Linked DNA regions of Tamandua tetradactyla. The protein of the gene in region 2 purifies or fractionates together with the protein of the main gene of each other region. This does not show direct contact. Links are inferred from orthologs where the notes say so. Each region holds a gene or a part of one and is shown on either strand. Other genes may lie near its edges. The genes, in order: RNF187, YAP1, PHGDH and PATJ.

Region 1 (7,270 bases), on a different chromosome or scaffold from region 2:
TTGCCCTCCCTCCTACAAGGGACACAACATTTATGGGTGAAATTCTCCCTGCAGTGTGGGAGATGATTCCCAGGGATGTCTGGCCCTGGTACCGTGGGATCAACAATGCCATTCTGACCAAAAGTGGGGAAAGAAGTGTTTCAAATAAGGTATCAGTGGCTGAGAGAGTTCAAATAGAATCGAGAGGCTACTCTGGAGGTCACTCTTATGCACACTTCAGTTAAACATTGCTACCTGTAATAACTTGCCAACCCCCCAACCAAAGCCATTCCTGCCAATCCTAAAGAACACCTTCGCCATTATATAAGGTTCTACAAAGGTTCCATGCACTAGGGTAACTTGCAAGAAATCTACAACCTCCAGATGAGTACTCAGACCATGCGAGTCTGAAATGCAGAGGGGTCAGCCTCTCCAGAACATTAACTAGTTCCATCTCCCTTTCCTATACTACCAATACCCCCTTCCAACATGAAAAAGTTAGAATGGGCATAGCCCAAATACCCCTAAAGAGTGGGAGAAAGATTAAAGGTGATGGTGGAGTTATACAGAGAAGGTAGGACTTAACAAATGAGTATCACTGCTGAATCATGATATTTATATTTTTTTAGTCTCCAGTTTCTTGGAGCAGCTAGAAGGAAAAACATAAAATTGTGGAACAGAAACCCATACCAAACTAAAATTTGGTCTACAACTATTTGTTACAATGTACTTTGAATATTTATTGCTTTTTTGTATATATGTTATATTTCATAATAAAAATTGTTTAAAAATTTCACTGAATAAATAAACAAAAAATAATTAGCAATTAAAAAAAAAAGACTAACTTTGAGTGGGTGAAATCACATCTCCACCTAATAAAAAAATCCGAGCCACACTTGTGTGTCACATCTCCATGGAAACAACCTAATCAAAATGTCACACCACAAAAAGAAAAGTCACACCCCAACTGAGCACAGCACATCTCTACGAAAATAATCCAATCAAACTTTCCACCCTAAGTGGTAGGTCTGCCCCCACAAGATTGGATTAGGAAAGAGAACATGGCTTTTCTGGGGTATATAACATCTTCAAACCAGTAACCCTGCCGTTCAGAGGCAGACAAAAATTGGGAGTTTGGGTCTAAAGACATACAGAAGAAGGCATATTTTAAATCGAGTACTAAGTATCTTAGGGCAGAGATAGGAATTTTGTTAAGAAGAGTATAAGGGTTGGAAACTAGAGGATGAAGGGGGAATGGCAAAGCTATTCACAGGTCTGAGGTCCTGTACCAACTCATACGTCCCATGTGGCTTTTTGACAGGCAGGGTAGGGTATCACAGGGAGACTGACAAGTGACTAGAAGGCCAGTTTTCAGGAACTTCTGGGTAAGGGGTTAGATACCCATTATATCTTCAGTTTTAAGAGGGTACTGCTTTCTCTTGGGAAAGGGTTGATCCTGTCAATTGATTAGGATCGGAGAGATGTGAGTAGCGTTTCTGGATATTTCTGTTTCCCATACCACTGGACTGACTTCATTAGCCAGTTCAGGGTGAGACTGTCTGGGTTTCTGGATCCAGCTAAAGCTGGACATACAGTTACAGACACCTCTGAAGCATCCTTAAGACATTGGGTAGGCCAGCAGCCTATTAGCCGGATTTGTGCACCCGATGCCCATTGCAAGTCTCTTCCTAGAAGTGGGCTAGGACACGCTGGTACCACCAAGAACTGATGATTCAAAATTATGCTGCCAATTTGACAAAGAAGGGGCTGGGTGACGGTTTTGGCTTTAGACTTTGGCTTTTACAATAGGACAGACTCACGGGGACATTGGGGCTGAGTAACCGGTCAAACCAGAATAAGTGGCTCCAATATCAATTAAAAAAAATCAATTGCCTTACCTGCCACATTGAAGGTCACTCAAGACTCATCGCAATTGATGTTTTTCAGTGAAGTCCAGGGAGCCACTAGTGGCCCAGGCCTCCTCAATCTTGCTTGGGAGCAGTCACAAAAGCTTTCAGGAGGGTCTCTATTTCCCTCTGGGACTCAGTGCACCCCTGGGCCCAGTGTCCGGCTTTCCTACACCTAAGGCAAGGCCCCAGGGGCTCTTGGTATCCCTGAGGACACTTGTATTTCCAACCCTCCATCTTTCCACACTTGTAGCAGGATCGGGCTGGCTTCTTCCCCAAGTGGCCCCAAGGCAGCTGTTGGCCATGCACAGCAAACACTGTGAGCTGAGCTCTGTCCCTGTCTTTCCTTACCTTACCTTACCTTCCTCTGCAGCCCCGTCCTTTTTATTAAAAACAGAAAAGCAGTGTTTATGAGATCATAGGGGCTTCTGACCCAGAGGCCAGTTCCTTAAATTTCCTCCTTATATCAGGAGCTAACTGACCAATAAAATGTGTAGTTTGCATACACGTTTGGACTGACTCAGGTACTTGTGGGCAGATGCATAAAGTTTAAAATATAAAACCAAACACACCACCCCAGCTCCACACTGTAGTCCCAGCCCTGCTGCAAAATAACTCATTGAGCCTATTCCTATACGCGAGAAATGACAGGAATTTGTTACTTGTTTAAAGAGATTTTTTTAACTAAATGCTAGAATTTGTTCTGGCGTATGAAATATTGTGAAAATTCTTCTGTAGAGGTGACTCTGGAAGACACGGCACAAAATCTGACACTACAGATTAAAACATATATGTATAGTAGACAAAGAGCAGGCCGAGTGTGTCTAATCAGGAATCCAGCTAATCTTTTAGGGTAGTGGACAAAGGCAGACCAAGACCTCCTCCGTCAGGGGAAGGACCTGGAGGCCCAAAGGTGAACTAGTTAGGGCAATTCATTCAGGAATCTGGAATTTCAAATCGGAAACCAGACAGAACGTGTTGGAAAAGCTCCACCTGTCCCCAAATTCTAAAGTACCAACCAAAGACAGTGGGGGTCTGAAAGGGCGGTGATTTCTAGTCCTGGGGCCCGGGTCGCCAGCTCCAGCCCCCTCCCGCGGAAGCGGATCCCGGGACATGTGTTCTCCGGCATGCGGGCGCCTAGCGGTGAGGGCGCATACGAGGAACCGCGCCGGGCCGGGCTCGGCTTTGGGTCTCGGGTGACGTCTTGGGATGGGCACCCGGGACGGCGGCCGGGCTTGCGGAGCCGAAGCGCACGGGAGTCTGGGGGCTCAGGGAGGTGGGAGCGCCAGGATGCAGGATGCTCGGGACAGCGGCGCCACCCACGCTACCTGCAGAGGCCCGCGGAGCAGGAGGCGTCTCCTGCATGTACCCAAATAGGCCGATCTTGATTGGCTCGAAATTCAATCCTCCCGACTCCGATTCCTCCTCCTTTTTTTTTTTGACCGCCTTCGCTCCTTTCCCCTTAGTTGTTCATTTATTTGTATTTCATTCACGTCCGTGCCTTCATGTTTTCTTCCATGTCCTTGCATATCATCGTGATTCTCTAGTAATCATGCGATGCCTTGGGGGAGGCAGGGGCTGGCCTGTGGTGATGTCTGCCCCCGGTGGGTGCCTGGGCAGGCTGCTGTGCGCACCCGCCGCCCTCTCTTCAAGGGCTGTCTTCTTCTCTCCTGAAAAACCTAAAATATCCTGAAAATATAGGAATTCTTTTCATAGACGCTTCAAGTTTCGTGATATGTGTTGACTAGTATCCATATCTCTTCCAAATACTGTGTGAAGCCTCTAAATTCACTTTCAACAACCCTTAAATTATTTTAATAACTATTATGGATACGAAGTAAGAGAAATATATAAGGTTGCGGGGGGGTGGGGGGCGCTTCCTCTGAAAAACTTTTGAGCCAGAAGCGGCTTTGCGAGGTTAGCGGAGGAAACCAGTGACCCTGATGTCAGTTCAGGAGGGAGGAGAACCTTTCTCCAGACACTAGATCGCTGCTTTGAATGCACCTGTAATCCATCACATGCAGCGGGGAAAATCCCAGGAAAGGATAATTTAGCCCTAAGAGTGCATGCACCTGTGAGTGTGCTTGCCGATGCCAAAGACCAAAATCGGGAAGAATTTAGCTTCTATGAAGTCATTAATCTCTGCCTAACGTTCTGAGATTGACACTCGAGTTTGCGCATTTCGCAGGCTCGAGTATTCGTTATTTTGCTCACTTTTTCACAAATTTGTTTTTTTGCCCTTCTATATTACTTGCTGTCCTTTATTCACACCTGCAGCTTGAATTTGATCGCAGCGCTTATTACCGACTTATCAAAATAAAATGTCAATAGGCCCAGAAGCAATTTCTTGCGATCACGGCTCATGCGAAAAGGCCCAGGACAGGAGAACCCTTGAAACGGCCCCAGTGTGACCCTTCTTTGACCAGAATGTGGGCTTTTCTGAACAAGCACTGTGCCTTTGTCCAGTTCTGCCCTGCCCCCTCTCAGTTGAGGAGCTCCCACCCCCAGCCCCGCATTTCTTCCCAGCAGAAAGCCTTGCCTTTAGGAGAGAGGAGGGCTCAGCCCCCAAACTCGGACAACTTGGGGATGTCCCTGGAGAAGCCTAACTGAAGCTGGGAAGGCCAGTTTTCTGCAACACATCTCCCTGGTGACCTTCCGCTGACTAGCTTAGAAACACTTCGACCTTTTTCGGGAGGATGTGAGCATACATTTAGTGTATTTCACATGTTCTATGCAAAATGCCACAGCATCCCATGTAATGTGGTCCATCAGCCTTCTTTCAGCTCTTAAACCCCGAAATGTTAAAACTCTTAGTAAGCCTTTAAACATGCCCTTTCTATATTTGCGGTGGCTGACTCGAAGAGAACCCTCTGGGCAGACTCTAGATATGTTTAGCATGTTTTACTTTAGGTATTGCAGTACAAAATCAGCACTCTCTTGGAAGGTAAAACCCATCTGCCATTTGTTTGCCATTGCAATGCTTTCAAGGTGCCATGTACGTATGCTTGTGAGAATTTTAAAGTGGTTTTCTCTTGGTTGAGGGTGGGAAGAAGTCATGGCCTATTCCACGTGTTCGGAGGCTGTACCCCTTCACTGCACAAATATCCTGGATGATAACATTTGTTCATTTCCTGCATGCATTATTCATTCAACACATTTATTGAATCAGCATTAACACCAGGCACTGGACTATGGAACCATTAAAAAAGAAAAGTAGGTGTCTATGATTTTTATCAGCAAAACTCCTTTCAAAATTGGTCTTCCAGACCATTTACTCTCAAGCAAGCCTGTCTGTCTTACTGGCTAGACTGGAAGCCATTGTTCCCCCCCCCTTCCCTCCCCTTTCCTCCCCTCTTCTCCTCCCCTTTCTACCCCTCCCCTTCCCTTCCCTTTCTCTCCTTTTCTGTTTGGCAATGTTGAACCTTACTCAAGGCCTTTATTTCTGGAAAGGAGCAAAGTTTAAGAAATTCCACCATCCTTTGTATTCTGGAAAACTTTTTTTTTACCAAAAACAACAAGGACAACGTGAAAAAAAAAAACACCCTTCCCCCATATGACTTAGATAAGACTCAGAATGTCCCCTTGTTTACCTATGACAAGGCTGGACACAGACCCTCCACATTCCCTTCCTTTGCCTCATCAATAATTAGCTGGACTGCTGGTTCCCTGCTAATCAATTGCAACAAAATACTTATTAACCAAACATTGCTTAAATTTCTCTCCTTCCCTCTTGAACTTTAATGGTCCCTCCCAGAAAATAGGCTGCTTCAGCATAAAATATTCTCAGATCTACTATTTGATTATGCCAACCTTCATCCCACTTCTTATACCTGGTTCTTTTCTCCCTATAAAAGAAAACTCGTTTTAGCCTACTATGTTATGATCAGAGCATTCTCCCTATTGTGATAGTTCTCCTCTATTTTAATAATCTCTTTCCCACTTTGCAATAATCCTCTTGAATATAGTCTCTCTTTACTAAGTCTGGATTTGTTCTGTTGTTTGATTTGTTTTGTTGTTTGACCTTTTCTTTTCTTTCTTTCTCCCTTCCTTCCTTCCTTTTTTCCCCTTCCTTCCTTTCTTTATTCCTTCCTTCCTTTCTCTCTCTCTCTCTCTCTCTCTCTCTCTCTCTCTCTCTCTCTCTCTCTCTCGCGCTCTCTCTCTCTCTCTCTCTCTCTCTCTCTCTCTCTCTCTCTCTCTCTCTCTCTCTCCTCCTTCCCCTCACTTCCTCCTTTCATTCCCCCCCCTTTTTTTCTTTCTTCCTGCCTTCTTTCTTTCCCTTTTCTTATTTTCTTTGAGGAAAGTTCAAGTTTACCCTATAATGTTTCATCTGCCAATATCACATTGGCTATGGTCCCAAGACAACCCATGAGATTGTTATCCTGGTTTTCTGAAACTAATCAGCCACTAGGTTCAGGCAGAACAATTCTTAAATCTTAGTCCCTTCATCGAAAAGACAATATCTTCCCCCAAACTCATTCTTGGAAAATTTCACTCTAAGTTTTGCTTCAAACCTTCACTAAAGCAGAAGTAAGCCAAGAAATCTCAGCATAGACCCAATCAAAAGGACCCAGCTTTTAAAAATGACAGGGGCAGGGCAGGGCAGGGGTGAAGGAACTGTCAGTGCACAAACCCATGGAAAGCATTCATCCTTAATAAGGTCTGCTGGCTAAGGGGCATGCAGAGCCAGGATCTGTGCAGCTTCTTAGGGCCCTGCACTGAGAAGGGTCCATGTTGCTTTAATACCCTCCTAACATTATCTTGAGATTCTTAATGGTCTTAGAACAAAAGCCCCCCACATTTTCATTCTGCACTGAGCTCAGCAGATTATGCAGATGGTCCTGTGATTTAACTATGTCCTGCCTGATACTCAAGTTCCCTCAGTCACAGAGTCTTTACCACAGATGTCTGAGATGAATATTCTGTTTACAAAAATGTTTGTTACCAGATAACAGTGCCCTGATACGTACAGTGCTTTATCACTGCAGACAGTTTCCACACACATGGGATTCCTTTCAATCTTCCTAGTCACCTAAGGAGGTGGCACTCCATTTTTAATGACAAAGTTAGTGCAGCTCGAAGTGTATTATTATAACCGGAAATCAAGTCAAGTTTTGTTGACTGTGTTTCCAGTGCTTTTTTACTTATGGAAAAAAAGCCAATAAACCTAAATTAAGAAAGATAAGACATAATCAGAATGGCAAGTGTGCTGGTTTGAAACTGTTATATACTCCAGAAAAGCCATGTTCTTTTAATCTTAATCCAATTTTGTGGGGACAGACCACAAGAAAAGAAAGAAAGAAAGGGAGAAAGAAAGGAAGGAAGGGAGAAAGAAAGAGAAGAAAATGTCAAACAACAGAGCAAATCCAGACTTAGTAAAGTTTTAG
Region 2 (6,851 bases):
AATGTTTTTTCTAGGCCAAATCTTAAACCATGTCAAATGTCATTTATACTCACTATAAACAAATGCCATCAATAAAGTAATCATCACAAGTTATACAACTTTTAAAGAATGCAAAAAGATCCAGAACCACCCCAAAGTTGTCTTTTTAAAGCTATCTTAATGAATGAAATGAAAAACCAACCACATCTTTTTACCTACATGACAAAGATACTAACAGTTTAACTATTTCTTATATAACTTAAGAGCTAACACACTTACATATTTATAACCGTGTAATAGCAAAAACTTTTCTGCACTCTGACCCCTAAATAGCTGGGTTCCAGTCCAAGCTACTCTAACTTGCTGACTGTATGACAATGAACAATGTCTTAACCTGCAAACCTCAGTTTTCTCTATTTGTAAAACGGTTTTTTTCATGATGGAAAAATGTGGTAATAAATGAAATATACACAAGAATTTACATTAAGTAGTTTGTGGACAAGAGTATTTACAGCTCAGGTTCAATCTATTCATAATTTAGTAGTTGTTTAAAATCCACTGATTAGAAAGAGGGTTTGATTATTAAAAAGTCTCAACTACCTAAATTCATAAAGGCAAAGAAGGGAGACTGGGAGGAATCTGCAAAATCATTTATACCTTAAAACTAGAGTCAAGTTTCCAAGAAAAAATAAAAGTTAAACTTACAGATGCACAACAGTTCAGAAATTTTTAAAAACAAACAAAACTATAGATTATAAATAGTAGGAATCTGCCAGGTAAATACTATTATCCACAAACTGATGGGTATAAGTTCTTGTGTAAATATTTTTAGAAGAATAAGTATACTTTTCAGTTGAAATTTTTTTTACTTTTAGTGTATTATGCTTTCAAAACTTATTAAGTAACCAGCAGCATAGCTGTGTGCTCTGTAGGATGCATGCCAACATGCATTTACCCATGAGTCCAGATGCCAATTTGCAGGTGTGAGAGAAAAAAGTTTACTTGAGTCCACTACCTCTTACAAATTGAGTATTTATGCAAGCAGATAAATTGTTTTTCCTTCCTCGTCCTTAACCCCGGTTTTTGTCAGCAGGTTGAGTGAACTTTTCTGAGTTCCAAAATCTCTTAAGTCTGCCGCAAGAGAATATATAACAGGCCTGCAAACAGGAGAGGGAAGGAAAATGGGGGCGTAACTCTTCTTTCCACTCAAGTTACAGCCCGAGTGGACTAACTACAGTGCAGTATTTGGAAAACCAATTAACTTTTGGACAAAGTTTCTATGCTGAAGTTTAGCCTGAAGCAAGTTCTTAAAAAAAATAAAATCTCCACAAATAAATCTGAGACGTATCGGAACGTTAACACTGTCAAAATAAAATAATTTCACTTCAATATTAAATCAAGTTGACAAAATAATCGAACGTTGTCTAGGTGGGAAAGCAGCCATGTTCACATCCTCAAGAACTAAAAAGCAATGGCAATAAAAATAAAAACTTAAAAAAAAAAAAAAACAGAAAGCAATGGCGATCCTAGAATTAGTCATAGCTTCCCAAACATTAACTTTTAATCACAGTTGAACTAGGCAGGACTCTGCCTATGAGTCAACCTGCAGAGTATTATTTAAGGCTGTGTTAAAACCTCGAGACGGGTAATGCGCAACTCAGTGCCTGGGTAACGTGCAGATGTGGCTAATTTAAAAGCATTTCAGCAGAATGTAAATAGTTTACAACTAGGAAACCAACACGTGAACCTACTAGGTTTAATAAGAGAGGGCCTGCCCGAGTTCCAGGTCTCAAGGGAAGCCAGGGGTGAAAGATCTAACTCCATAAACAACTTCCAGGAAAGCCTGGGCAGGGGAAGCCCGGATCCTGTATTCTAAAACCTCCGGGGCAGTGAGGGAAATAAATGCCTTCGGCCGGGGGAGGGGGAAAAAGAGCAAGAAACTAAATGGACTGGTTCAACCCCCACCCTCTAATCAACACTGGAAAACAAGAGAACAATTATTTGACTCCCCAGGAGACTGAAGTGAACCAGGAGGCCCAAAGGAAAGGGGGCCCAGGGCTCAACTTCACAAACTCGGCCGCCGCTGGCAACTCACCCACACACAAATGCCAGAGGCCCCCCTCCCCCTCCCCAGGCGCGGCGGGAGCGAAGGTGCGGAGCGCGCGGAGGCGCGCGCATTGTGCAAGCCCACCGCGGCCCGGGCGGCGATTCTCCCCACCCCCTTCCTTCCTCCCCACCTCCCCCTCCACTCCCGCCAACCTCCTGGGAACCCCGGGAAGAAAGAAAGAAAGGAAGAAGGGGAAAAGCACACTCCCCGGGGCTGCAGCCGCAGAGAGAAACTCCAAGGGGAAAAACAAATCTCGGCCCCCGACTCCCGGACTCGGTAACGGCGGCCGCGCGGGCGCCTGGAGTTGGCACACCTCACCGGGGAGAGTCCCCCTAGCCCCCGACAGACACCCCGGAACACCCTCGCCCCGGCCCGGGCTACGATCCCGATCCCCCGACCCCGGCCCAGGCCTGGGGCCCGCCCGACGGGGATGTGGGGAGAGGCGGCTAGGTTACCTGTCGGGAGTGGGATTTGGGCTCCGGCGGCTTGAAAAAGGAGTCGGGCAGTTTTCGGAGCCTCATGGGTACGGTTTGGGGCACGTTGGCTGTCTTGGGGTTCATGACGGCGTTGAAGAGCGCCTCCAGATCGGTCTCTGAGTCCCCCCGGACGTGCACGATCTGGTGCCCAGCGGGAGGGGCCTGCGGCGCCGCCTGGGACCCCGGGGGCGCCGGCTGCCCGGGCCCCGGCTGCGGTCCCTGCCCCTGGGGGGTCTGCGCGGGCGGCTGCCCTTGGCCCTGGGGGGCCGGCTGAGACGGCGGCTGCTGCCCGGGATCCATAGCTTCTGCCTCCCCCGACGCACACCCCCTAACCCGGCGGACGAGGGCTCCGCCCGGACGCCCCGGCTCGACGGGCCGAGACGCGAGAAGCGGCAAGAGCTGCGGGCCGGGCGGCGCTGGGCGTCGGGAGCGGCGCTCTCCTCGTTCTCAGGGCCGGGGGGCTGCGCGGCGGCCCCGCATCCCCCGCCCGGCGCCTCCGCCCCCGCCCTGCGCCCCGGCTGCACTGGTCTGGCGGCTGCGCTTCGGGAGGGGCTGAGAAGGACCCGGACCTGCGGCGCCTGAGAACTTTTTTTTCCTTCACCTCCCTTGACGGAGGCCGAACAGCTAGCTGCTTATCCCCTCCCCCTTTCTCTTTTATTTCCTTTTCTTGTTCCTTCCTTCCTCCCTTTCTTTTCCCCGGCGGCGACTGCGCCCGACTGAGACAGAAACTCGGCTCAGACGCCAAAACTAAAGTTGAGAGAACTGCCCGCCCGAGCCACTCGCCGGCTCCGCCTCCTCCCGGCTCTTCCTTCCTCTGCGCGCCCGCCCGCGCCGAATCCGCGACCAGCCGCGGAGGGAAACTTTCCCCTGCAAGTTACTACATTCCTGCAAGTTACTACATTCCTGCAAACTCCCGGCCGCACGTGACTAATTTGCCCTCAGTCTGGTCCTCCGCTGTGTATCCAGGGGCAGAAGCCGGGACGCAGAGGGCTGCCGGCCGGATGGAAACACTGGGCCCTCCTGGATCCGAACTGTGGTTGGTCTCTCTGGAGAACGCGGCCCGCCCCGCAGTCCTCGGGAAAAAGCTGCTTCCTCTTGCCTGGAGATACGAAATGGAAGGCCGAAAAAAGTTGGTATAGAACGTGGAAATCCATTTAAACCCGCCCCGCGTTAGCTCGATTTAACCCCACCAGTACTGCCAATTCTGGGTTAAAGCCGCAAGAATAGGTTGGAGTTAAAACAGATACCAGTAGCAAGCGCCGCTTTTAATAAAAATCTGTTTTTTAACACTAAGTTGGATTTGGTATTTTTTCACTCAGCTTTTAGCATGTGAGTATCCACTAGAAAGGGATATATGATTGCAGTGTTTAGATACTTCGGGGCATTGTGACTGCCTGCCTCTCATCCTGTCCGGTGAATTAAAGTACACGAGTTTCATTGTGTTTTTAAGTGACATCAACTATTGTAGCACTCAAACTTGCAACATAGTCACTGAAAACCTCAAAGCGAAAAATCAGTGCTACCTTTGGTTACAAACTTTCCTCGGTGTACCTGCCTTTCTTTCATCCTAGAGGGGGTGGGAGTCTACCCCTTTTTATCACTGTTGCTGGTACAATGCAGGATTCGGTGGATGTTGACTGAATGAGAAATGAATGGGCCAGGAGTACACCACTGGTCCTCAATATGGCAGTGCCATATATGCCTGGAAGTCACTTGAAAGCACCCAGGAGCAATCAAAATTTGTTTTCAATTTGTACTACCACTCTTCATTTTTTAAGAAACAGCTTGAGATATAATTCACATACCATACAATTCAGTCCATATAAATCAATGTTTTTTTTTTAGTTTACTCACAGGGTTGTGCAACATCACTCTTTAAATCTACTACCCTTTCTAAAGAAATCTGGCTGCTGCTTTTCATGATTTTATCTGCAATGCTAGTGAAACAAAGAAAGATGTATAAACAAGGAAAGAGCCCTTGACAAAAAAAAGATAATCTCTTCCTCCAGGATGTGCCCACAGAAATTCTGAGGGATCTGGTGGTGGAGCCGTGCCAGAGGATGATATTTCAGACTGCCAAGCTTCTAATGCCCTATGTTAATCAAGTGCTCTGGACCCCAATTTCCCATCTGAAGAAGAATCCCAGCATAAATGATGCCCACGACCCCTTCTTGGATTTTACCCCCTCTCCAAATGTCAGGTGCATTTAATCACAAGTTTGTGGGTTATGGAGTTATAGATATTTGGCTTCAGGTCCCAATTACACCATTACTAGCTGAGACATTAGACAAGTTACTATTTCCTCATCTTTAAAACTGGGGAGGAGAAGGATAATAATACCTACCTCATAGGTTGTTGGAGTATTAAATGAGTCAATGGGGATAAAGTGCTTAGCCCAGTGTTTAGTGTATGATGAATAATGTCAGCTATTAACACTGTCACATGTTCATACATTACTTCTCTCTCTCTCTCTCTCTCTCTCTCTCTCTTTCTCTCTCTCTCTCTCTCTCTCTCTCTCTCTCTCTCACACACACACACACACACACATACACACACACACACACACACACACACACACACTCCATGATATGGCCTCTTCTTTAGAGAGGAGTAAGGGTCCCTCTCTAAGCACAGCGTTATTAGCTGTCCTTGCTGGGATCTTGGCAGACCATTCCTCTCACATTCAACCATCCATCCATAGATCATTTGGGTAGAAACTATGCATTTAAAACTTTGAATGAAAATATTTTAAGAAGTAAAGTGATTGAAAATCTGAAATTGTAATGGAAGCTGTCCCTTAACTACAGCATCTACTACTGTGAACACTACAATTAAAGGGCTTAGGATAGGTACAGCAGAGGTTGCTTTGTTCAATATTGTTTCACCTGCCATTGAAATTGTGACAAAATTACTTGGATAAGTGGATTGGAAAGTTGTTTGGAGTGATTTTATGTTCTCTAAGTACCTTTGTACCATCAACCAGGATTTTTTAACTTGGTATTCCTCACCTATAAAATTTCAATCAGGTTAGAAAGGGATAAAAATAACATGTATTCAACACATTGTCCCCTCTCTCCATCCCCTTTTGGAATAATTACCAGTTTACGAACCTTAAAATGGAGAGACACCTTCTTCATATAAAGACTTACCAGGATAATTTCCAACGTCCATGTAGGTTATCCTCTCAAAACACTACTCTTAGAATTACTTGACCTCTCAACTCCACTGAATCCTCACCTCCACCCCACTTCAGCCACCTTCTCCTGTGTCTGCACCCTAACATCATCCCAAAATAACTCAGTCTTGAAATCAAACTCTTTTCTTAATTGTGAAAAATAACCTATATACAAAAAAAGCAATAAATTTCAAAGCACACCCCAACAATTAAAGAACAAATTCAGAGTTTGGCATGGATTATAGTTCCACAGTTTCAGGTTTTTCCTTATAGTTGCTCCAGATACTGGAGACTAAAAGAAGTATCAATATAATTCAACAGTAATACTCATTAGACAATTCCTATATTCTCTGTTATAACTCCACCTTCTCCTTTGATCTTTCTCCCAATCTTTAAGGGTATTTGGACTGTGCTCATTCTAACTCTTTCATGTTGGAAAGGGCTATTGATAATATGGGATGGGGGGTGGAATTACTTGATGTTCTGGAGAGGCTGGCCCCTCTGAGTTTCAGGACCCCATCTAGAAGTTGTAGGTTTCTGAAAGTAATTATAGTGCACAGAACCTTTGTAGAATCTCAGATAGAGCCCTAGGTGTTCTTTAGGATTGGCAGGAATAGTTTTGGTTGGGGGTTGGCAAACCATGGTAAACAGCAATATCTAGCTGAAGCTTGTGTAAAAATAGCCTCCTCTCGACTCTATTTGAACTCTCTAGTTACTGATACCTTATTTGTCACAATTCTTTCCCCCCTTTTGGTCAGGAAGGCATTGTCAATCCCACTGTGCCAGGGCCAGGCTCATCCCTGGGAGTGAAATCCCATGTTACCAGGGAGACACCCCTGGATGTCATGTCCCATGTAGGGAGGATATATCATTCTCTTAATATCCAAATGATCTTGTTTCATTACTCACACTGCATTTACAATGACTTCTCTCCTTTCTCCCAATCTATCACTCTCTCCTGTTTTCACTTCCTTTTCTATTCGTTTAGAGATAATAATCCATTGCTTCAACCTCTCATAAATATCTATGCTCTCAATTCCATTGCCTCATGTTTTCAATGAGCAGGATCTACTAAGCTGGATTAATCCAATTATCAGTCTTTTCCACTTCAACG
Region 3 (7,313 bases), on a different chromosome or scaffold from region 2:
AGTTCTCACATGCTCCCTTCCCCAAGGAGGGCAGGCTTAGACCTGGGGTAATTCTAACCCTGGCTCGGGCCACTGATTCTATTAAATCATAGAGGAAGTCAGTGAAACTCTCTTGGCCGTGCTTGCCAGCTGTGGAGAACGCAGGCATGTCCTATTTTGCACACGTGTGATCCTGATTAACTGCTGCGGATTTACCTTTTGTAAAGTAAACGTTAGTGCAGGCTGGGAACGTGCCATTTAAAAGTGCCTTTCAAAAGATGGATTCTTGCATGGAAATTTACTACCTTCATCTTTCCTGAAATTCTAAGATAAAGTTAACAATGTGCTTCAAAAAGTTAAATGCATCACCTGTGATTAATTAAGTGGATTTTATCCAGCTTTGCTATTTAATGAAGCAGAAGAAAATATCGCATGTAGTAAGGATAAACATTATTTCAGGGAACTTTAGTGTGTGGGTGTGCGTATATAAATATATCTGAGAATCTATATGTATGTTTGTACTGCGTTATGATGTAGGATGAATTTCTCATGGCGGGTCATGGTCAAAGCTTAAAAGCTACTGAAATATAATGAGATTATTTTAAACATGTTTTCCTAAATAATAGGTTTATTTAAGATGCAGCACCTACTGATAGAAACGGGGTAAGCAGTCTACTTTGTTGTGTTTCAAACAAGATACTAAATCAGTGTTTTCCAAATTTTTCAACTGAGACCCACAGTAAGACATCCATTTTGTAAGCTGCATTTTTATACTCACATATAATGGAAATAAATTTCATAAAACAACACTCTGCCTTACTAGCATTCTTCAAACGCTGGTCAGAATCCATTAATGAGCTGTGGCTTGCTGAAGCTTGAAAAGCGCCATTCTGGAGGAATGATTATATTTCCTAAACACGGAGCACAGAATGAGCAAACTGCCTACCCAGAATACAAACGAGTGAGAACTGGCACCAATCCCAGTCCTAGCAATAGTGCTAATGATTCCTTCAGTATTCAAAAAAAACAATGCCAACAAGGAGGGGCAGGAGGCAGTATCCCAGATGCCTCTCCACGCAGAGCAAAGCATAATGTGGAAATAAGGGCCCTTCAGTGGACTAAGAGAAGTTTAACCAAATGCTCTCAAAGGTACACATGAAAGCTGCTCTCCCAAAGGGCACACTAGTGCCCAGAAGTCACTGCAGGCAACAACCCACTCCCAGCCCCCTCCTGCCAAGAGTCTGTAAGGCTTTTAAACCATTCTGCAAGTTTTGGCTCCAGATTTCCAGGACTCACCCCATGGACTACCCCCCAACTACAGTGAGACCACCCAATCTTGTGTTCAATTCTGTCCTCCCTGCCCCCCATCCCTCCCCTGGAAGTATAAGATTTCAAACTTCCATCAGAAAGCTGGAGGCTACCCACAGCAAGGCTCAGTCCTGGAGCCACTGCCTGCCACGCCAGCCCACGATGGTCACCCGCTTCTCTACTTTCCAAGCAGGCCAAGGCTAGGCTGCTGTACCGCCTCATGTAGCCTTTAAGTGCAATGTCCATTGTGTCACAAGGGGTAGCGGCGCTCCCTAACAGCGCGCTGTTTGTAGAAAGGGACCCGTCAGAATCTTACTGCGGATCCAGGCCTGGAGTTGGATACCTGATGCAGCCCCATAGGCTGGGGGCAGGGGCATTCCAGGGGGCAACACAGCAGCAGGTGCCAGAGCAAGCAGGAAGGGCACAGGCAATTTGGAGGACCACGCGGTTGGAAGGCAAAGAAAGCATCAGCTGTTACCTCGGCGGTTTCTTTGAAGGGGTCCTGGGAGGAAAGGATGGCAGAGGGGGTGCACGAGTGCGGAAGCTGGTAGGCAGCAGGAGGGGAATACCCGGGAGGGCACGGGGTGCGGGGCAGCGGAAAGAGGCGCAGGAACTGCGGTGCAAACGTTCGCAAAACAAATGCCCTAAATTGGGCCAAGGCCGCCCAATCTCGCAGGAGCTTTTCAAACAAGGGAGATAAAGATTTGAAGATAAAGCTAATTAGGCATCACAACAAAAAGAAGATAAGTTGCCGAGAAAGAGTTGCTCGGAGAAAAAAATCCATGCCTGGGGGCGTGTGGGGTCACATTCCAAGTCGGGCACGGCGGGTCCCGACCGCCAGCGAGGTGGGGGGGTCAGGAGGAGTCCCCGTGGCCCGGACCGCCTCGTGGGCGCCCCCCCTTTCCTCTGGGCGTCCTGGGGCGGCCGAGGGGGCGGTGAAAGCCGGCCGCAGTCTTGCATCAGACGAAAGGCGGGTGCAGCGTTTGCTGCTCCAGCGAGGCCGCCTTCCCTGCGGAGCTCCCACGGCAGCCACGCGTCAGGCTGGGGCGCCGCCAGCGCTCCCCGGGCCGCCCAGCGAAAGTTCTGGGCTTCCGTGGGGCGAGCCAAGCCCCGATCCCGGGGGGAGCGCGTCGGGGCCCGGGCGGGGGGGTGGGGGAGGAGGCGGCGCGCGGGTATCCGGGGCCAGCGCTTCTCGTTGCTGCGGGAGGCGCGCACGTGGGACGCGCTGCTGAAAACTGCACAAGTTTGCATCCCGCCGCCCGCCGCCGGCCAGCCTCTGGAGGCCCCCGACTGACTGAGTCGGGGCGAGGGGTGGTGGTAAGGGACCCTGGGGCGGGGGTGAGGATGGTGGGGGGGGGGCGCTACCGCCGGTCCTCGGCGGAGGGTGCCCGGAGCGCGCGCCTTTCTGCCACCCGCCTGACCTGCAGCTCGGCTATCAGCTCCTCCTGGCTCAGGTTCTGCTTCTCCACCACCAGCAGCCCCCCCTCCTGCAGGATCTTCCGGCAGCAGGGATCCAGGCTGTCGCTGATGAGCACCTTCCGTACGTTTGCAAAGGCCATGGCTGGGGCTGATCTCGGAAGCCGCTGCTCCCTGCGCGCGGGACCTCAAACCCAGAAACACCGCTCCACCTGGGGGCCGGCGCCGCTCGAAAAGCTGCTCGGGCTCCCGGGGCCCCTTTATCCCCTTTCTGCTCCTACCATCTCCTTTTGATTGGGCGGAAATGTTCAAACTCGCCCTGACTCCGCCTCCCGCCCGCTGCTCGGAGCCTCCCAGCAACCCGCCTGCTGCATTGTTCTCCCACCGCGGATTTCTCGGCCGCGCTCGAAGCTCTTCCCAAAACACAATTTACCCTTATTTATAGCCTCGTTCTGATCCTGAGAGAAGAACTTTACTTCTTCCCCCTTTAGGACTCGTTCATGAATTCCTGCGCGCGTATGCGCAGACTTATCGTGGGCAAGGTTCTGTGCTGAGTCCAGGAGGAGGCTGGAGTGTCAGAAAGACGAAGCCCCTTTTCTTGGGCAGCTTAATACCGAAGGGCACCAAGCACGCATTCACGGCAGGTTACACAGTAAAAAAGTAATGCGGAACTGTTCCTGAGACCTCTCAGATCAGCAAGTTTCTAATTTCAAATGAACGGTACAGTGAGAATTATGAGTTTAAAAGACATCAAGGACTTTAAATCAGAATTTTTGGTTCACCTTTTATTTTCTCTTCTTCCTCCACTTACCCCTCTGATTATGAAAAAGAGGGAAAGGAAAATGAGATGTCAGCCTGGCCTCGTTTATGTACTGACCAAGGCGGCACTTCCTAGGACTTTGTTTAAACCCCACAACCACAGTGTTCTTGGGGTTTTTTTTTAAGGTTGCCCAGGACCAAGCAGAATCAGGAAGGCTCAGCAGCTTGATTTGAATTCAGCTCTATAGACAGTGTAGTTAGCAATTGCGTGCCCTTGTTCTATACCATTCACAAAACTGAACTTCAAGACCCTTATGCTATAAAACTGCAGTATTAATCCTATGGAGTTAGCATTTTTGCACGGATAATTCCTAGATAATGGGTTCCATATCAGATTTTAGACCAAATGCTCCCCGTGGGAAAGTATTTTGTCTATCCTGTTGATTTGTTGAGAAATTTTGTTGTTCACACTTTCTAGCACTCCAGTGTATTCTCTCCTTTTCTCGTTTTCTCCGGAACTGCCCAACAGCCCTAGGAGCTCTTCCCTCCAGGGTAACTTTCTTTCATGCCTACAGAATCCCCTATGCCCATTTCAGTGCAGAATCTAAACCCTGCTGTCTCTTAAAGTACAATCCCACCCCTTTCCACCAAGTCAAACCTCTTTACTACTATCTAACAACCCTGCACACAGAGACCCTCTATTATCTATGCCCCACCTACTTTTAAAACGAACTTAAGTTGTTCAGTGAGAGGCGCTTCTGAACCTATTAAGCGAAGAGTTAACAGACAAGAGTCAAACAATTTCCACATTGAAAGGAGAGGGGGAGGGGTCATAATTTTTACTATAAAAAATCAGAAATGGTCCCTCCCTTTTTTTAAATTCCTAGGCACTGTCTTCCTTATCTCCCAGTGCCTTGTATAATATGCATTTGTACATTGTCTTGTCCCCTCCCACTCTCATTTCCTTAAGATCAGACATAGCTTTAAATATGTTCCCACTCGGTCAGTGCCTAGTAACAGGCTCAGGAGAGTTTCATTCAAAAACTGATCTTTAGGCGGAGACCCAGTTCGATTCCTGGTGCCTGCCCATGCCCCTCCACCCCCAAAGAAAGTTAGTTTTTGACCACCTACTATATGCCAGGCATTGTAGTTTGAGACTGGAGATAGGATGATACATGAAACACAGACTCTTTCCATAAAATGAGAGAAAACCAACATTTAACATCTAAAATTGATGTGCTGAAGGGCTTTGGGAGGGAGGAGGAAAAACACCCAGCACAGCCTGAGGACACCAGGGAGTTCCAAGCAAAGCTGCCTTTGAGCTGACCCGTACCCAGCAAATTCCAGGGGATGAAAAAAAAAGCGAGCTCATGGTCAAGTGCCTCGTCTTGAATAGGCAGCTGGATGGGAAGAGCCAGAAGACAGAGAAGAAAGAATGACATTTACAACCATCCAGAGATGGGAAGAATTGCCGGAGGTTCATGGCGACTTTTCCTCTGGCTGGGAGCAGGAGATAAGACTGTCAGGGGCCAGGTCCTGCTTACCTGAGGAGTTGAAATGCTAAAGGCAGTTCACAGGCTCTGAGTGACTTTTTTAAGAAGTGAAATGATTACATGTGCTGGCTGAGCTGAGCAATTATGCATACTTACACTTCTTGTATACTGATACTGCTAATGAAGATAATAAATCCCCCACTCCGCTCCACCCCCAACCAGCCTGGAACATCTAATGCAAGGTGAATGTTTTTCTCTTATCCTCCAGGATTAGAGCAGGGGAGATTTTCTCCTCCCTACATTACTGCCTGCATCCATAAAACAAATACTTTGTCCCTCTTGGATGTATTGGGAAAAATGGCTCAGCCGTCCTCCCCAGACTTTCACTCCTTTCTCCTCCCCTGGCCCCCAGACCTACCCCCCAACGCCCTGGGAAGAGAGAGACTCTTGTGATTAGCCCGCCTGAGCTAAAGGTCGTTTGTTCGTCCCCAATCCCTCCCCTTCTTGGCTCTTGCCCACCGCAGCAGGCCCTACCTCGCTGCACCTGACATAGTTGTTCAGCTGCTCTGCCTGTAGCTGTGAAGATAAGGGTAATAGGGAGAGGAGGAGAAGTAGGAACCCCCTTTTCTACATGGAGCCCGGCAGTGATCTCTAAAACTCGCATTTTCAGTAAGAAAGCAGACATTTTGAGAGGCAGACGATTGTCAGCCTCAAAACAGAAACGTCTGAATTTTAATTCCAGATTCTCGAATCCGGAATGTAACCGTAGACAAATTACATAGCCTCTCTAAGACTGAGCTTCCTTCTGTATAATATGGGACTAACAATAGGATAGTGCTTACTTCGGAAGTTCGCTGTTAAGACTAAATGAGACAAAGCATGCAAATAAGTGTAGTGTATTATAGTGCCTGGTACTCATCGTTCATTCATTGCATTCAATCAGTACTTGTATTTTGAGATCCTGTTATGTGCCAGGCAGTGCTGAGGATTCTGGAAACAAAGCTTAGAACAAGACAAACACATGTCTCTGTTCTCATGGAGCTTATATTCTGATTGGGGATAGGAAATAAATAACTGACTGAACATCATACTCAGGATAAAAGTATGATGAAGAACATAAAGCTGAGTTTCCAGTTAAGAATGGTTAGAATAGCAAATGTTATGTATATATAACACAATTAAAAAAACTTAACACCAAAAAAAAAAGGATATAAAACGGGCAAATGTGATACAGAGGATAGGGGGATGGGGGGAGAGGCATCTATTTTAGACTTTATAATCAGAGAAGGCGTTTTTGAGATGATGAGACCGAAATAAAGATCTCACTATGCAAAGAACAAAGGAAAGAGACTTCTAGGTAGAGAGAAAAGCAGAATCTGTCTGGAATATTCGAGGAACTTGCCTGCAAATATTTATGTAGCACTTAAGTATAAGCCAGGCCTTGCTGGACACAGGGATTGCAATGCTGGACGAGTGACCCAAGTTCTCTGCTCTCAGGGCCCTTGCAATGCAGCGTGTGAGCCGGGGTGCAGTGTCTCTGTCCTGGCTGGTCAGGAAGGTCTCTTTGAGAAGGTCGCTCTTAAGCCGAGACCCGAAGGTGGAGACAAAGCCAATTGAAGGACATCTGGAAGAGTATTTGGAGCGAAGGGAACAGTTAGAGATCAAGTCCCGTGGGTAGGATAGAGCATGGCTTCTAGGAACTAGCAGAAGGTCAGAGCTCCTGTAATATGGTAATAAAACAGGAGATGACGTGGGGGAGGTTGGCAGGGGCAGATCGTTCAGGCATTGTGAATAGTCTGGATTTTATTGGATGCAACAGAAACACAATTTAACCAGGCCTAAGTAAAAAAGGGAATGCATTGGCAAAGGTGTCCAGAAAAAAATGAAGTGTGGATATTATTAGGTATTCAAGTTGTATCCGAGAAGTTAAAATTTAGGGGATAATTATGATTACCACATGGTCATATGGTATTTCTTTTTCACTTTCTAGTATAGTAGACAGAGGGAAATACGTGAAATCTCTGGACTCTAATCCAATTGCCTTGATCTCTGATAATGATTGTATAGCCTTTATCTCGTGTCCTTGTGATTGTAAAAGCATGTGACAGACCCTCACTTGTACCCTTTTCGTCGGGTTTTTAAGGTTAGACTCTTATGCTCACTAGAGACAGCCCCTAATGTTTATTAATGAAAGGCCTCCAGTCGGCCCAGCATTAACTAACCCCCACCCCACCCCAATTCCAAGGTTATCTTGATAAACGGAGCTGGGTCTAACCAAAATGGGCCCGCCTGACATGTACAATAGTGTAAACTTTAACCTCTAGGGAACTTGCCCTCATTATAGTTCTAAAAATCACG
Region 4 (7,711 bases), on a different chromosome or scaffold from region 2:
ATGGGAAGGAAGTATAGCTTAGAGACAAAAACAACAGTATAGGGTAGGCCACAGTAGCTCATCGGGCAGAGTTCTCGCCTACAATGCCAGAGACCGGGGTTCGATTCCCAGTGCCTGCCCATGCAAAAATAAATAAATAAATAAAAACATCAGTCCGTAAACCGGAGGGTAAGTGCTTCAGTAAACTAAACCTTCTTAAGAATAAACATGCTCATTCTGCATTCTTACCCACTGCTGTACAATAGAAATATAATGTGAACCACATATGTAAGTTTAAATTTTCCAATAGCCACATGAAAAAGATGAAGAAACAGTAAAATTAATTTTAAAAATATATTTTATTAACCCAATAAATCCACTATCATTTCAATACATAAATAATACTTTAAAATTAATGATATTTTAGGTTTTCACACTAAATCATCTAAATCTGGTGTGTATTTTACATTTACGGTGTATTTCAATTCCAACTAGCCCCATTTCAAGTATCCAATAGCTACATGTGGAAAGGCTACTGCATTGACTCTTTTAACCTATACCTTGGTACATTTTAACAAACTTGCTTATCATTTTCTCTGCTTTTTAGCAAAGTAACTATCAGTTCTTCCCAACAAAAATCCTACAATTCTACTTGACCAGTTTTAAACATCAGTGGAGGAGAATAATGGCTTGTAATTACAAGATATTCTTGAACTTTATTTCATTTCTACCTCCCAAAAACTCAGTGAGGTATTCAGTGAGCTTTATCGAGTTAAAGGCTTGCCAAGAGTTTTATGATAAATGGACTCAACTCCATGTCTCCAAATGCCACAGACTGCACATCTGTATAAATAAAATACAGGTGGACGATACATTTTCAGCATCAACGTGAAATGTCTAAAGGAATGGCATTGAAAAGCACTAAATTGTTCTCCATTTCCACCACCACCTAAAATGGGGTCTTTAAAAAAAAAGGCATCCAGATATACGCAAAAATCCTTGAATAAGAAAAACATGGCTATGGTCAAGCAATCTCAAACATTTAGGTGGAATAGTCCTCGGTTTTTCAAAAAACTTTACTACAAAGGTGAGCAAAGTCTTAACTCCAGTTTGATTTCCCCAGCCTAATGTATTTTTGTTAAACTTTAACAAAACCTTTGGAAGTGGTACAAGTAGGTTCAGACTGCTTGCTTTCGGCTTAAGGATAATTATTAAATACTTTCAAGTAAAAATGCAATTGCAAAGATTACTAACTGCTGAGCCACTGAGAATCACTAAAAGCAAATTCGCTATGGGAAAATATTTTCTTCTTCTTAATTTTAAGACTACTAACTGAAAAAATAAATACCATAATGTTATTAACTCTCAATGGTGAGTGAAAGGGTTTGTACTTTCTTCCTTTTTTGAAAATTCTCCCCAATTTCTCTACTATAAATATACGTAAGTTTTATAGATAGGAAGAAATATTCACATTGTAAAAAAAGTAATAAATACATGACTTGAACTTAAGTCATCTTTAAACACAAATGAGAGCTTAATACAACTTCAACTTCGAACAAGACTATTATCCTGATGCTGATGCCAACCCCATCTTATGTGACACTTAATAGGCTGTAAACTAGCCAGGGCGAATCTCTTCAGATCTCAATTCATAAATGCTATCCACAATATACATTCCAGCTATGATAATTATTAACCTTCTAATTATCACAAAATTTTAAAAATCTTTAAAAATACCATTAGAGGCCTTAAACAACACATTTTAGCTGAATGTAACAACCTCACCTAACATTTTCTGGTGCTGCAAAATGAACCAATTTAAATTTTCACCTCCAGGCCTCCCTAGCTTTCTTTTAAAAGGATGTGTGTAAATGATTTTGACTGTCAAAAGAGTTTAACCTATACAGTTGTTTTGTCACCTTCGTTGGAATTGAGATTTTTTTTCCTTTAGTTTCCAGAAGACTTCGTTCATTTAAGAAACACTTGTGCACTTACCAATAGGCCTAACCCTACTGTAACAGATAAACAAATAAGGCCGTACAAGGAACGCCCCCTCAATAGTGGCGAAAAAATAGTAAACAACTAAATTGAATTCAAAGCGATAAGAGCCACAAGGCTCTCCGACAAAGTGCTAAGGAGCACTCCACAGGGAGATTAATTCAGTCAGCTAGGTGATTTTGGTGGGTGTGCCAGAAGGGGTAGGATTTATCTGGAAATGCTTTTTAGAGCTTGACTTAAATGAAGAATTCCATAATTTCCCCCAAAGGCCAGAGCATTTTTCTCCTTCGTCCGCCCCATCTACGAAGCGAAGGTAGCAGAGCCCAGGCGGGACCGCTGGCCTGGCAACGTCTGCTACGTGACCACCAAGCGCGGGCACGGGCACCCTCTCCTTCCCGGTCCCCCCACCCTCCAACCGGGCACCACTTGTTCACTCCTACCACAGCCACGGCCTGAGGTAAAGACTCCGCCCAGCTCTTGGGGCGAAGAATAGGCAGGCACCTATCTAGGTAGAAAATATGATCCGTGCCACTCCCAGAACAGAACCCGGCGCTGATTTCAGGTCCGGCAGGGCCTGCCGAGACTGGGCAGGTCAGCGAACGGTGCCTTGGAAGAGTCCCGCACGGAGTGTGGGAGACCCGGGGAAGGTCACGCCGAGCCCGCAGGGGGGCAGACGCCCCCGCCCCGCCACCAGAGCCAGCGCTGGCGCTCGCCGCGAGCACCCCTCACCCTCCGCGGCCCTGGCCTAGTGCCGCGGCGGCGCCCTCCGTGTCCTGTCCCCACCCCCTCTGAGCGAACGGCAGATACGCCGGGGGCAGGGCAGGCAGGCGAGGGACGCGAGAAAGGGGCTGTTCCTGGCCCGCCTCGAGGCGCGGGGATCCGCGGCGCTGTGCGCGCCCTCGCAGAAGAAACCCCCACGCTTTACCTGGTCCACGGAGACCTGGGTGGAAGGCCAGGCCGGACGGGATTGGCGTCAGTCGCTCACCTGGGCGGAAGTGAGCGGCCCAGGGTGGCCGCGCCTCACCTGGCAGGCCCGCCCCTCGCATCGATCCTCCCCGCCTGGGGCGGGGCGCTGGGGTGCCGTGGGTGGGGCGGGATTGGGAGAGTGGGGCACCGGGAGGCCGGCTCCCAGGAGGGCGCGGGGGTCGGAGGACAGTCGGCTGCACTACTGTCTCTAGGTGAAATTCGGCTGGGAATGGGGGGGGGTTAAAGAGACTTTAACTGACCCTTGAAAAGTGGGGTTTGGGGTGCAGGGTGGAGATGAGACACCGAGTAGCATGGCAGCCAGCACGAAAGGTATGGGGAATGTGGCCAGACAGATGTATGGGAACTGGGCAGAGAGCAAAACCCGATTTGAAAGGAAATTAAAAGAGGACATTGGTGAAATGATTTGGTCAAATCTACTTAGCCTTTTGTTTTCCCTTTTCCCTCTTTCTGTCCTCTTATCTCAACCTGTCCTTACGTTTTCTGCAGTCCCTTGATTCAATGTAAAATAGTCCAAGATGTATAGCTATGGGGGAACAAAAGGTGTGGTTTGTAGTCTTCTCATTTAGTTGAAGGAGGGAAATACTGAATCAATGGTAGCCCTTACCCTATGCCGGGTGCTAGCTTCCACAATATCTCACTTGCTCTGAAGAAACCACAAATGGGATAGGTTAACTGATTGGCCCAACTCTGGGGACCCAGACCGGGTCACCTAAGTTCGGTGCTGACTTCATTATACATTTTTTCTTGATATCATAACCTCAGTTTGAGAAAGATCTATGCAAACCCCATAATAGCATTATTCCACTCTAATGTAATTAAATTTAGTAGTTTTATGATAGGCATTTTACTTCATCTAATTACAGTCCACAATTAAAGAAAAACGATCCATCTTCAGGTATCTCATTCATCGAAGAAATGCAGTATTCATTAAGCATAGTGATAGGCTCTGTGGGGAGATGTATATAATGGGATCCGTCTTCAAGAAAGATGAAGCATATTTAAGAAATATCTACAACAAAAGGACATTTGTTGTAAGATCATGCACTTGACACACTATATTTTGCGTGTGTTTTTAAAGGAAATACCACTTGTTAGGCCTGGTAGAAATACACAATGTTAGCGTGACCCCTGTTTTTTTTCAACTTTTTTATTGTGTGGTAGAACATATATACAAAGCAAAGAAATAAAAAAGCAATTGTTTTCAAAGCACTCTTCAACAAGTAGTTACAAGACAGATTCCAGAGTTTGTCATGGGCTGCCATACAATCCTCTCGTATTTTATTTCCTTCTTGCTGCTCCTGAGTATAAGAGGCTAGAGGGCTTAAATATTTTTTTTATCATCACAATCGACTTTTTTTCCTTCTTTTTTTTGTGAAATATAGCGTATATACAAAACAGCTATACATTTCAAAGCACAGCACTACAATTAGTTGTAGAACATATTTTAGAGTTTGACATGAGTTACAATTCCACAATTTTAGGTTTTTATTTCTAGCTGCTCTGAGATACTAGAGACATCAATTTAATGATTCAGCAATCATATTCATTTGTTAAATCCTATCTTCTCTGTATAATTTCACCATCACCTTTGATCTTTCCATCCCTCTCTTTAGGGGTGTTTGGGGTATGGTATTCTAAATTTTTCATGTTGGAAGGGGCTGTCACTAATACAGGGTAGGGCGATGGAACTATCTTATGTTCTAGAAAGGTTGACCCTCTAGGTTTCAGGACTTATCTGCACCAGAGACCCATCTGGAGTGCATAGACCCCTTGTGGAATCTTATTTATTGCCCTAGGTGTTCTTTAGGATTGGCTGTAATGGTCCTGATTGGGATTTGGCAGGTTATGATAGGAGCAATGTCTAACTGAAGCTTGCATAAGAGCAACCTCCAGAGTAGCCTCTCGACTCTATTTGAACTCTCTCAGCCACTGATACTTTATTATTACACTTCTTTTTGCCCCTTTGGGTCAGGATGGAATTGTTGATCCCATGGTGCCAGGGCCGGATTCATCCCTGGGAGTCATCTCCCATGTCACCAGGAAGACTTTCACCCCTGGATGTCATGTCCCATGTAGGGGGGATGTCAATGATTTCACTTGCAGATTTGTACTTAGAGAGACTGAGGCCACATCTGAGCACAACAGAGGTCCTCCAGAAGTAACTTTTAAGCATGCCTATAGGCAGTCTAAGCTTCTCCGCTACCCACATAAACTTCACAAAAATAAGCCTCAGGATCAAGGGCATAGGCCCCTGCTTTTAAGGAACTAATAACTGAGAATAATCTTATGCAATAAATTATCAAAAAGAATGAAGCCAGAAACTTCAGAAAAGAGAGATATCTATTATGCTTGTTGAAAGAATCAAGACTTAAATCAGTCTTAAAGGGTAGAAAGAAATGCTTCCTAGTCAGGAGATAGTGACCCATTATCTCAAACAATTTGCAAATATTGGGTCTCTTTCTACTCTAACAGCTGATGATCAACATTATGAACATATTACCCCTCAATCAAAAAAGTCATAGGTTATTGCTTTTTATATATAATGTCATATTTCACAATTAAAAAAGTAAAAAAAAAAAAAAAATACAAACCATAGGTAACTTTGAATGTACCTTGAAACAAAGTATTCTTTCTCTTAGTATTCAAGGTCTTACAAACTCTCCCTCTCTTGCTGACCTATCTCCCAATTCACTTCTTCAGGATTTTACTCTGAACAAACTGGTCCGCTCAGAATCCATGCACTGTACTACACCATGACTTTAGTGTTGGTTACTCATCCTCTTCTCCTTGCCTAGAATTTCCTGTAAGCCCTACACTTCCTCCAGGCCTAGACTCAGTCTCACCTATTGTGAAAAATAGGTGGCCTTCCTGTCCACACAACAAACATCTATCTCCCTCACATTTCATTTAATTTTCATGTTGCTGAATGTGAATTTCCCACAAAGCATTGCTAAAAGAAATCAAAGAAGACCTAAATAAATGGAAGGACATTCCGTGTTCGTGGTTTGGAAGCCTTAATATTGTTAGCATATCAATTCTACTCAAAACAATTTACAGATTCAACGTAAGTTCAATCAAAATTCCAACAACATTCTTTACAGAAATGGAAAGGCCAATCATCAAAATTATATAGAAGGGTAAGAGGCCTCAAATAGCCAAAACCATCTTAAGCAGAAGAATGGAGTTGAAGGACTCACATACCCTATTTTAAAACTTACTGAAAGCTACAATAATCAAAACAGCATGTTACTGGCACAAGGACAGACATATGGAATCAAACTGAGAGTTCAGAAATAAATCCTCACATCTATGGCCAGCTGATCTTTGACAATGATGCCATGTCCATTCAATCAGTAAAGAATAGTCTCTTCAGCAAATGGTGCTGGGACTACTGGATATCCATATGCAAAAGAATGAAGGTGGAACCTTACCACATGCCATATACAAAAATATACTCAAAATGGATGAAAAACCTAGGTACTAAAACTATTAAATTCCTAGAAGAAAACATGAGGAAATATCTTCAGGACATTGTGTTAGGCAATGGGTTCTTAGGCTTTACACCAAAAATATGGGCAGCAAAACAAACATGAAATAAATGGGCTTCATCAAAATGAAAAACTTGTGCATCAAAGGACTTCACATGTAAGTAAAAAGAGAAGCTACAGAATGGGAGAAAACATTTGGAAATCTGATAAAGGCTTAATACCAGAATATATACAGAAATCTTCCAACTCAACAATAAAAAGTGAAACAACCCAATTTAAAAAGGGGCAAAAGGCCTAAATTGACATTTTTCCAAAGAAGATATGTAATAGCCAATAAGCACTCGAAAAGATGCTCAATATCATTGAGTCATTAGGGAAATACAAATCAGAACCACAGTGAGGTTTCTGATTTGTTTCAAACCCACTAGAATGGCTACTATTAAAAAAAAAAAAGAAAATAAGTGTTGAAGAGGATGTGGAGAAGTAGGAACTTGCCTTCATTGTGGCAGGAATGTAAAATGGTACATCTGCTATAGAAAACAGTTTGGTGGGTTCCTCAGAAAGTTAGAGTTACCATAGGACTTGGCAATCCCATTTCTAGGAATATACCCAAAGGAATTGAAAGTAGGAACTTGAACAGATATTTGCACACCGATGTTTATGGAGGCATTATTCACAATAGCCAAAAGATGAAAAGAACCCAAATGTCCATGAACAAATGAATGGATAAACATACATGCAATAGAATGTTATTTGCTCATAAGAAAGAATAAGGTTCTGACAAATGTGACAACATGGATGAAGCTTGACGACATCATGTTGAGTGAAATAAGCCAGATACAAAAATATATGATCTCACTGATAAGACATAATTAAAATAAACAAATTCATAGAGTCAGAAACTAGAATGTCGGTTACCAGCAGCAGAAGTGGGAACAAGAAATGTGGAGTTAATGCTTAATTGCTACAGAGTTTCATTTTGGTTGATGAAAAAGTTTTGGTAATGGATGGCGGTAAGGGTAGCACAATATTTTAAATGTAATTAACACCACTGAAGTATATATTTGAATAGTGGTTAAAAGTGGATATTTTAGGTTGTATATATCTTACAAGAATAAAAATTTTTAAAAACCCATAAGAATTGGCAGAGAGAATTCAAATTGAGTCAAGAAGCTACTCTGGAGATTGCTCTTATTCAAGCTTCAGTTAGACCTTGCTACCTATCATGACCTGCCAACCCCTAACCAGGACCATTCCAG

The links.
Region 1: the proteins of YAP1 (region 2) and RNF187 purify together in Homo sapiens (affinity purification with western blotting; 3 studies listed by BioGRID, with this or other methods). This does not show direct contact. The link is inferred for Tamandua tetradactyla from reciprocal best matches to the Homo sapiens genes YAP1 and RNF187.
Region 3: the proteins of YAP1 (region 2) and PHGDH purify together in Homo sapiens (affinity purification with mass spectrometry, with the first as the bait; 4 studies listed by BioGRID). This does not show direct contact. The link is inferred for Tamandua tetradactyla from reciprocal best matches to the Homo sapiens genes YAP1 and PHGDH.
Region 4: the proteins of YAP1 (region 2) and PATJ purify together in Homo sapiens (affinity purification with mass spectrometry; 7 studies listed by BioGRID and IntAct, with this or other methods). This does not show direct contact. The link is inferred for Tamandua tetradactyla from reciprocal best matches to the Homo sapiens genes YAP1 and PATJ.

The regions. Positions count from the first base shown.
Region 1 is NC_135346.1:62,360,729-62,367,998, forward strand, and holds the start of RNF187 (E3 ubiquitin-protein ligase RNF187), read right to left. Parts: upstream 3,016-7,270; coding exon 2,902-3,015; intron 1-2,901.
Region 2 is NC_135334.1:40,798,968-40,805,818, forward strand, and holds the start of YAP1 (transcriptional coactivator YAP1), read right to left. Parts: upstream 3,013-6,851; 5' UTR 2,863-3,012; coding exon 2,542-2,862; intron 1-2,541. UniProt on the Homo sapiens protein: Transcriptional regulator with dual roles as a coactivator and corepressor. Critical downstream regulatory target in the Hippo signaling pathway, crucial for organ size control and tumor suppression by restricting proliferation and promoting apoptosis.
Region 3 is NC_135337.1:989,838-997,150, forward strand, and holds the start of PHGDH (D-3-phosphoglycerate dehydrogenase), read right to left. Parts: upstream 3,012-7,313; 5' UTR 2,847-3,011; coding exon 2,709-2,846; intron 1-2,708. UniProt on the Homo sapiens protein: Catalyzes the reversible oxidation of 3-phospho-D-glycerate to 3-phosphonooxypyruvate, the first step of the phosphorylated L-serine biosynthesis pathway.
Region 4 is NC_135328.1:158,446,772-158,454,482, forward strand, and holds the start of PATJ (inaD-like protein), read right to left. Parts: upstream 3,012-7,711; 5' UTR 2,903-3,011; intron 1-2,902.